2 linked regions of the Callithrix jacchus genome follow. The protein of the gene in region 2 purifies or fractionates together with the protein of the main gene of each other region. This does not show direct contact. Links are inferred from orthologs where the notes say so. Each region holds a gene or a part of one and is shown on either strand. Other genes may lie near its edges.

Region 1 (3,656 bases), on a different chromosome or scaffold from region 2:
GTTTCGGGGAGGCCCACAGACAGTGGTGCTTCCAGGGCCGTGAACAGAGATACAAGGCAACGAGTGTGTTGCTAATGTTTTCTAGTGGGCTAGCTCTTGGCTGCCTTAACATGGCAGACACACCCTAGGCTAAAGCCTCCGCCATGTCAAAAACCAGGCACTGAAATTCCAGGTACTACAGTAGATCACACAGATTCTTCTTTGTATATTTGGGATATATAAAACAAAATTTCAATTGTATAGTTAAGAAACATTCAAGTTGATAAAGACCTCTGGAGCCAGCATAACAATACTATGCATTTTAACAATTTTAAATCAGAGTAGAGTTACCAAAAGTTTAAATTAATGAGCAGCTTGAGTCTGTAGAACCCACTGTGAAGTTTCTTAATATTTAAACATAGACCTGCGATTGTTCTTAGAAGTTGACCGGTGAAACCAGAGATTAAAATATGCCATTACTTGCAAAGCCCACTCTGCACAAAAGTGGAAGCACAAAGAACCTGGACTTTTTTTTTTTTCTTTTTACTTTAAAAAATATCTAGAGATAGCGTCTTGCTATGCTGCCCAGGCTCATCTCAAATGCCTAGCCTCAAGCAATCCTCTGGCCTCAGCCTCCCAAAGTGTTAGGATTACAAGTATGAGCCACCACACCAGCCAAGCCTAGGCTTTAAGAGAAAAGACCTTAACTGAAATTCTGGCTCAGAAACATACAAGCTAGGATTCAGAGAAGTTCACTGAAATTAACCCAAGCCTCAGTCTTCTCATCTACAAAATGGACATATCCTTGGTTTCATAGTTTTCAATTAGTTTGTACTCAATATTGCTGTAAGCACTGAGTGTTATTAATGTGAGACTGCTCTGTCAAAGCTGTTATAGTGCAATGCACGCGACTCCAGCTTTTTAAGCCACTACCCAACACCTGATGTGTCAGGAAGGAGCCGTGCCAAACACTTCCTAAATACATCATTTAATTGTCATGTCAACTCCCAAGTATAAGCATTAACACCCCCATTAGTGGAGGAGAAAACTGAGGCTCACAATCATTAAATAACTTGCTCCCCAGGCAGAAAGAACTGGAATTTGGCTCATCTGACTCTTACAACTCCATGCTTGAAACTCGCCACTATTCCTCCAGAAGCTGCACTCTAGATTCTGCTGCTGGGTTGGCTGATAATGATTTCTATAATCTGCCTTATGATCACTTAGAATGGAAAACAATTTTGAGATATAAAGGTGATCTTACCTGCAAAGTGTATCTGTTTTTGAAGCAGTTAGTTACCAGTTCTCCTTTAGACAACTGATATAACCATGTCAGTTTTCGGCCACTGTGGCGGCTGGCGTAGAAAGCTGTGAATCGCTGGTAACTGCGTTCCAGCTAGAGGAAAGGACAGCGTTATATGGAATACAGCCCTCACGACGTCCTACAGGCAGCCTTTCTAAGTGAAATGCACTGTTCCAAGCTTACAGTGCAAAGTCAACGCTTACATGAAAGTAAAATACAAACCCAGGTGGTGTCTGCCTCTCTTGTAAAGCACTTTAAGCACTGGAAGGTACAATCTTAAAAAAGGTTTGTGCTTCAAGACCAGCAGGTTCATCAAGGTGTTCATTACAGAACGAATTACGTTCTACTTTACAAGATAAAGACAGGTCTGTAGGGTTGGAACAGACAGCCCACCTTTAGACACCCAGACCTGCCCCACCACACAGGGCTCTTCCCTGAGTGCTGCCCCTGCGGTTCACTGTGACACAACCAGCGGGCAGGAAGGACAGCTGCAGGCCTGTCCCCTTCCACAGCGAGACAGCGAAGGCCGCCCTGCCCCACCCTCCACTGAGCACTAATGGGACGGCAGACAAACCCGTCCTTACCTCTGATGGCAAGGCGAATGTACAAGACTGCTGGAAGGGCCAGGACCCGGAGCTCAGGACTTGAATGCTGAAATCCACTGGGGAGTGGAAGAGAGGGGAGAGTGAACATTCTGGAATCCATTAATTGGTTTATAAATTGAAAAAAATCAATCATTTCAAATGTGTTGCTCTTTATTAAAAAGCACATTAAATAAAAATCCTCCTTGAATATAAAATTAAGAATTGAATATTTTATTCAATTAAAATTAGCAAAAGGTGCAAAAGCCAGATATTCTTTTATTCCAAAGAGTGACAGTCTTCATTTTGCTTCCATCTTGGAATTCTGCTGTCACATGCCTGCCCTGCTTCCCCTCCTTTGCTTTTCTGTCCTGAATCACTCAGTCCACTCGAGCCATGCCTGTGCCTGCCAGGCCCAGCATCATCACAGCCCCAAGCTCACAGAAACTCACAAGCAGAAGACCGCGAACTTCATTACAGTGCGTATATCACTTATTACTGTGAAAAGACAGACGTGATCTATAAATTATAACAGTAATTTCATCTTTGCAGATAGTTAAAAAGCCAACTGACAGAACTGTCCAGTTTAACAATGGAATTGTATTTCTGGTTTGGAAAAAATAAAGTTCTCCATTTTTCATTTAAAAAGACAAAGATTATCAAAAGATGATGTAAGCAGAAATCTGCTATCCTACTGCTATCGCAAGACCTTAAAAACCAGCCCAGCTGCCACTCCTGGAGAAATGAACCCCGACACCCTGCCTCTACTGATCCCTAATCCCAATCTGAAGCCACAAGTCTTCAGCTTGACTGTTACCTACGCAGGCCAAGTGAGTGCTAGAATAGATCCAAGCTAAGGTTTTCAACAGGAAACCCAGCTTGTGGGTCCTCCCCTAGATCCCAACAGGTGGTGGCCTTGCCGCAGGAGAGCTGACAGTGCTTCAGGAATCGCCATCTCCTACTGTCACACAGGAGTTGGGGGAGGTGGGAAGCGCCTTTGGGAGGAATCTCCTGTTTCTCAGTTCTTGAATTTCTGACAAAGCCCCTCCCGTCTTTACTTAATACTTTGTCATTTCTTCGTTTGCTACAAAGAACTCTGCCTGTGAGAGCAAGGCACAGACACGCAGGTACTCACAGTCCAGGGGTTCGGAATTTGTCAGGTGCTTTTTGAATTGCTCGTTCAGATCTTTGCTCACGCCAATGTCTTGGAACATCCGCTGAAGTTTAGAGGTATACTCGAAACCACAAGCTTGCTGAAAAGAACCCAGGTAACTGTCTTAATTTGTACAAAAATACAAATGTACACAAGGGAATCTTAGAGAAATCACAGTACACCACATATACTTAACTATACGGAACTACTAGCAAAGCTAGCCACATTTTGTTCTATGTTACAGTATAAATATGCATGGATTAAAATTAACACACTCTCAAAAAACCCCACAGATCTATGTTGTACAGTGAAGTTCATACACACGCGATTTCTGGGCATGTAAGACCAAGGTATTCTGACACTATGGTAGAATACAACGATGAAATAATTTGTCACTATCTCTTACCAGAAACTGAACTGTGTCCCCCCAAAATCCCTATGTTGAAGCCCAAACCTCCAATGCGATGCTATTTGGAGGTGATGAGGTCTTGAGGGTGGGCCCTCACGATGGGATGGGTGTGGCTGTAAGAGATGCACAAGAGCTCTGCACTCTCTACACGTGAAGGCACAGCAAGAAGGTGGGTGGCTGCCTGCAAAGCAGGAAGAGGGCCTGCCCCAGGAGCCAAATCAGCTGGCACCT
Region 2 (4,082 bases):
CGGTCCTGTGGAACCTGCATATACAAAGTAGGCCTTGTATACTATATTTTCAATTGAAGTTTGGTTGCAGATGTGGAGTCTGTAGAAATAAAGGGCTGATTGTATTTATTGAAAAAAAAAAAACCCTGCATAAAAGTGGATCCATGAAGTTCAAACCTATCTTATAATCTAGAGATGATTTAAAATATACAGGAAGATGTGTGAAGGTCATATGCAAATACTATGCCGCTTTATATAAAGGACTTAAGCATCCACAGATTTTGGTTATTTACAGGGTACTATAACCAATCGCCTACAGATACTGAGGAAACACTGCACTGTACTCTGTGTGTGTGTGTGTGTGTGTTTATATATATATATATATATATATATATATAAATTCTGAGTCACACTCTGTATCTACCAAATAAGAATCTTGACATTGCTGGAGCAGAATTAGAAGGCAAACATGTAAATTTTGAAAACCTTCCCCAGAATTACTCATACTAAGTTAATCTTTTTCACATTTGTTTCTTGCAAAATAAAAAGCAGAATGTACTTCCATGGAACTGAATAATAATCAAACCATCAAACAAAACAATGTTAAATCATGCTGTCATACCACAGTTCTATAGACTTCTAATGATGAAATATTTCCCCCTGGAAACCTTGGTCTTTGATGACCTGATACTTTGGTGTTGATGTGATTTGTCCCCACCAAAATTCATGTTTAAACTGACCCCCTTTGTGGTGGTTTTGGGAGGTAAGCCTAATGGAAGATGTTTGGGTCATTAGAGTGGATACCTTATAAGTAGACGAATGCCCTCCCTCAGGGGTGGATGAGTTCTAGATCTCCTGGGGATGGATTACTTCCCTAAAGCTAGTTACTTAAAAGTTTGACTTTCTCAGCTTCTCTTTCTTGCTCTCTCCCTCAACATGTGACCTCTTTGCACAAGTTCACTCTCCTTCCATTTTCCACCAGGAGTGAACACAGACTGAGGCTCTCAGCAGAAGCTGTGTAGATGGCAGCATATGCCCCTTGAACTTGCCAGCCTTCAGAACTGTCAGCTAAATAAATCTATTTATTTATAAATTTATAAATTCAACCTCAGGTATTCAATTATAGCAACACAGAGCAGACTAAGACAACTGGTGACTTTGCCTTAAGTGCCACATGTAAATAGATTACTTGCCAGGTGACTTCATAATGGGGTCTGAGGTTCTCACAATAGAACCATAGCCTTAGATTCATCAAGAGAACTCAGCCTTTAGGGTTTTGCTAGAAAACTCTGGATGAAGAAAACTCAGGTGGATGAATCACTGTTCCTTATGGAAAAAAAAGATGAAAACATTCTTTGTGGTTATCTTGGCTACTGGCTATTTTTCATGTAAGTATTTGTTAAAGAATCTTGGGGAAAGAATACACATTTGATAGTCTAGGGGAAGTAACAAGCCAACAACTGCTTTCTAGAGGTTGTAATCTTTGAAACTTTGAGACTTTTCTCAGAGATGAAAAATTCACCAACTTAAATAGAGTAACTATCAGTGGTTTAATCCTTTTTTTTTTAATATTCCAAGAATTCTGCCATAGATAGCTCAGAACTGAGATATTTTAAGGAATGATCTATGAAAGTTGTACTCAATATCTGACTGATAGTTTGGCCTTCTGAATTGATAACCAATTTTGGCTCTGCTCCCTCTTTTTCCTAATTATTTCCCATCATAATCTCCCACGCTGGTATTTTGTTATGTTAGCCTGTACACTGAAATGCAAAGCAGTGTCAGCTTTTTACATGGCTTACTATTAGAGCACCACCAGATGTTAGCGAATTCCAAGAGAGGACTCCGCTGTTTCTAATTAACACCAACAAAATGGCACCAATAAGGTAAGCCCATGTAAGACTGAATCTGCTAGCTGAATGGTACATGTAGAATGAGGAGGCAAGGAGAAAGCTCAGCTGCAGTAGCTGAAAGAAGTCAAGGCTCTCAAGTAAAACACAAAATATGAAGGTTAAATACAGTGTTAATAGTTTGGGTAAATTGATTTTGACACAGAGGTCCCAAGCAAAAGAGGCTTCCTTGTATGCTGGCTGATTTTAGAAAAGGGGTACATTCAAGGTGCAATAATCTGAAAACAATAGCAGATTATCTAAGATTTCTGTCAATAAATAACTGGGATGATTATGAAGAATGAAACCTCTCTCTAAAATAAGACTAAGAGATGTTTGAACAGCTCAGCATGGACGATACCACGGAGCCCCAGAGGATGACGCTTGAGTTTAAACACCCACTGCCTAAGGTCAACATTAAACCTAGGAAGAGGATAAAGTTGAATTTCCAGGTAGGACGTTAAGGAGAAGAAGGAAACAGTGTTTGGGAAACAGAAGACGTGGCAGGATAAACAGTGTATATAAAGAAGCCACTTATTTTTTCATGACTTTCATGGTTACTAATTTATCTGTGCTTACTTAATGGGCTAGTTAGCTATTCACATTTCAACACTGAATTGTTTTATTTAATCTTCTATTCTAAATATTTTTATTTCAGATATTTTTGCTAATAGTCCCTTTAAGGTAATTTTGCCACTTCCTGCATAAGAATAATCTTTCTAATCTTAGCCTTACAGAATTTCTATTAGGCTGAACATATAAAATTGCCACTATCTGATCATTTCCAGTCTACATAATGGCAACTTCATACAGTTCTATTTAAATACCTCAGTCAAAATAGGTACTCAGAAAATCAGGACTCATCTCTCGGACTCTTCCTGCTCCTGCCTTCCCCAGATACCACTGACAATTCAATCTGTTAATTTTTGTTTTTTAACGAATTTTCTTTCTTCTTTCTAACTTCAATACTTTTGCCTAGGTTAAGTCCTCCTCGTTACCTGCCTATATTGTTGTGATATGGATCTAATGCATCTAGATACCATCGAGGGGTCTCCTTGCATTTAGTCTGATTCAGGAGTTGGCAAACTATAGCCACCTGTTTTTGACAATACAGTTTTCTTGGAACACAGGCACACTTTTTAAGTACATTATCTATGGCCGTTTTCAAGCTGGAAGAGTTGGGTTGTTGCAACAAAGGCCAAATGACCTAAAAATCATAAAATATTTACTACCTGGCTCTTAACAAGAAAAGTTTGCTAATGCCTGCTCTAATTTCTACAACCCTGAGAATGACTTTCTAAAGTGCAAATCTAATTGAGACTTCTCCTTATTTAAAACAGTGACTCTCAGTATTTTCAGGGTAAGTTTTTTGCATGTTTTACCATGCCCATCCCGCTTAACCCAGACTCTTTCTACCTAAAAGGATAACTTCTTTAATGTTTAAACTATTTTGGAGTTCATGCTATTCCAGTTTTGTGTCTTGGTGCATGTAATTCCTTCTAATTAAATATTCTTCTTTCCATATACATATTCAATTTTCAAAGTTATTTGTATCTCTTAAAAGCTCTGCAAAGCATCTAGTCTTTGGTAAAGCTTTTCCAAGTCTATATCATGTAGACTAAATCATTAAAAGAGGAGCTAACATACAGTGTTTCTCCAGAGTGATTTGAATGCCATCTGATAGTATTAATAATAACTTAAGTTAATATGCCAATGAATCTCTTTCACTTCAATAATTGCAGCTGTTCTTTAATCTGTTAGAAAAAACGATGTTTATAACTTCAAACCGAGGATATCATGGACATTCACATTTAGGACAAATCTAAGATCAGTAGGCAAATTTAAAAAGTGAGCCAATTAAAAGCACAATATTTGTAAAGAAAAATGACACATGAATTTGAAAGGAATCATAAACAAAGTTACTGAAATTTGGGAAACATTGCTGTGATGAGAGCCAGTGAAGTCCTGTAGCCTGACATACTAGAGAAATTGATACACCACAATCTGAACTACGGGAGTAGGAGACTGTGTAGCTCATTCCTAATCTCCTCATTATATAACAATTGTAAACTTTCCAAGCCTCCTCCCATTCATAGAAAAATAATTCTAATATTCAAGGTCCTCTAATTCTGGTGATATTGAGAAACGCAAAATAAAAGAGGAAGATTTAGGAAAATATAAACCTGGTAGTTTCTTATAATTCCAGTATCCTAA

Evidence for each region.
Region 1: the proteins of FBXO38 (region 2) and CUL1 purify together in Homo sapiens (affinity purification with mass spectrometry; 4 studies listed by BioGRID, with this or other methods). This does not show direct contact. The link is inferred for Callithrix jacchus from reciprocal best matches to the Homo sapiens genes FBXO38 and CUL1.

The regions. Positions count from the first base shown.
Region 1 is NC_133512.1:98,927,745-98,931,400, forward strand, and holds part of CUL1 (cullin-1), read right to left. Parts: intron 3,117-3,656; coding exon 2,999-3,116; intron 1,944-2,998; coding exon 1,867-1,943; intron 1,376-1,866; coding exon 1,244-1,375; intron 1-1,243. UniProt on the Homo sapiens protein: Core component of multiple cullin-RING-based SCF (SKP1-CUL1-F-box protein) E3 ubiquitin-protein ligase complexes, which mediate the ubiquitination of proteins involved in cell cycle progression, signal transduction and transcription.
Region 2 is NC_133503.1:47,061,466-47,065,547, forward strand, and holds the start of FBXO38 (F-box only protein 38), read left to right. Parts: upstream 1-1,250; 5' UTR 1,251-1,367; intron 1,368-4,082. UniProt on the Homo sapiens protein: Substrate recognition component of a SCF (SKP1-CUL1-F-box protein) E3 ubiquitin-protein ligase complex which mediates the ubiquitination and subsequent proteasomal degradation of PDCD1/PD-1, thereby regulating T-cells-mediated immunity.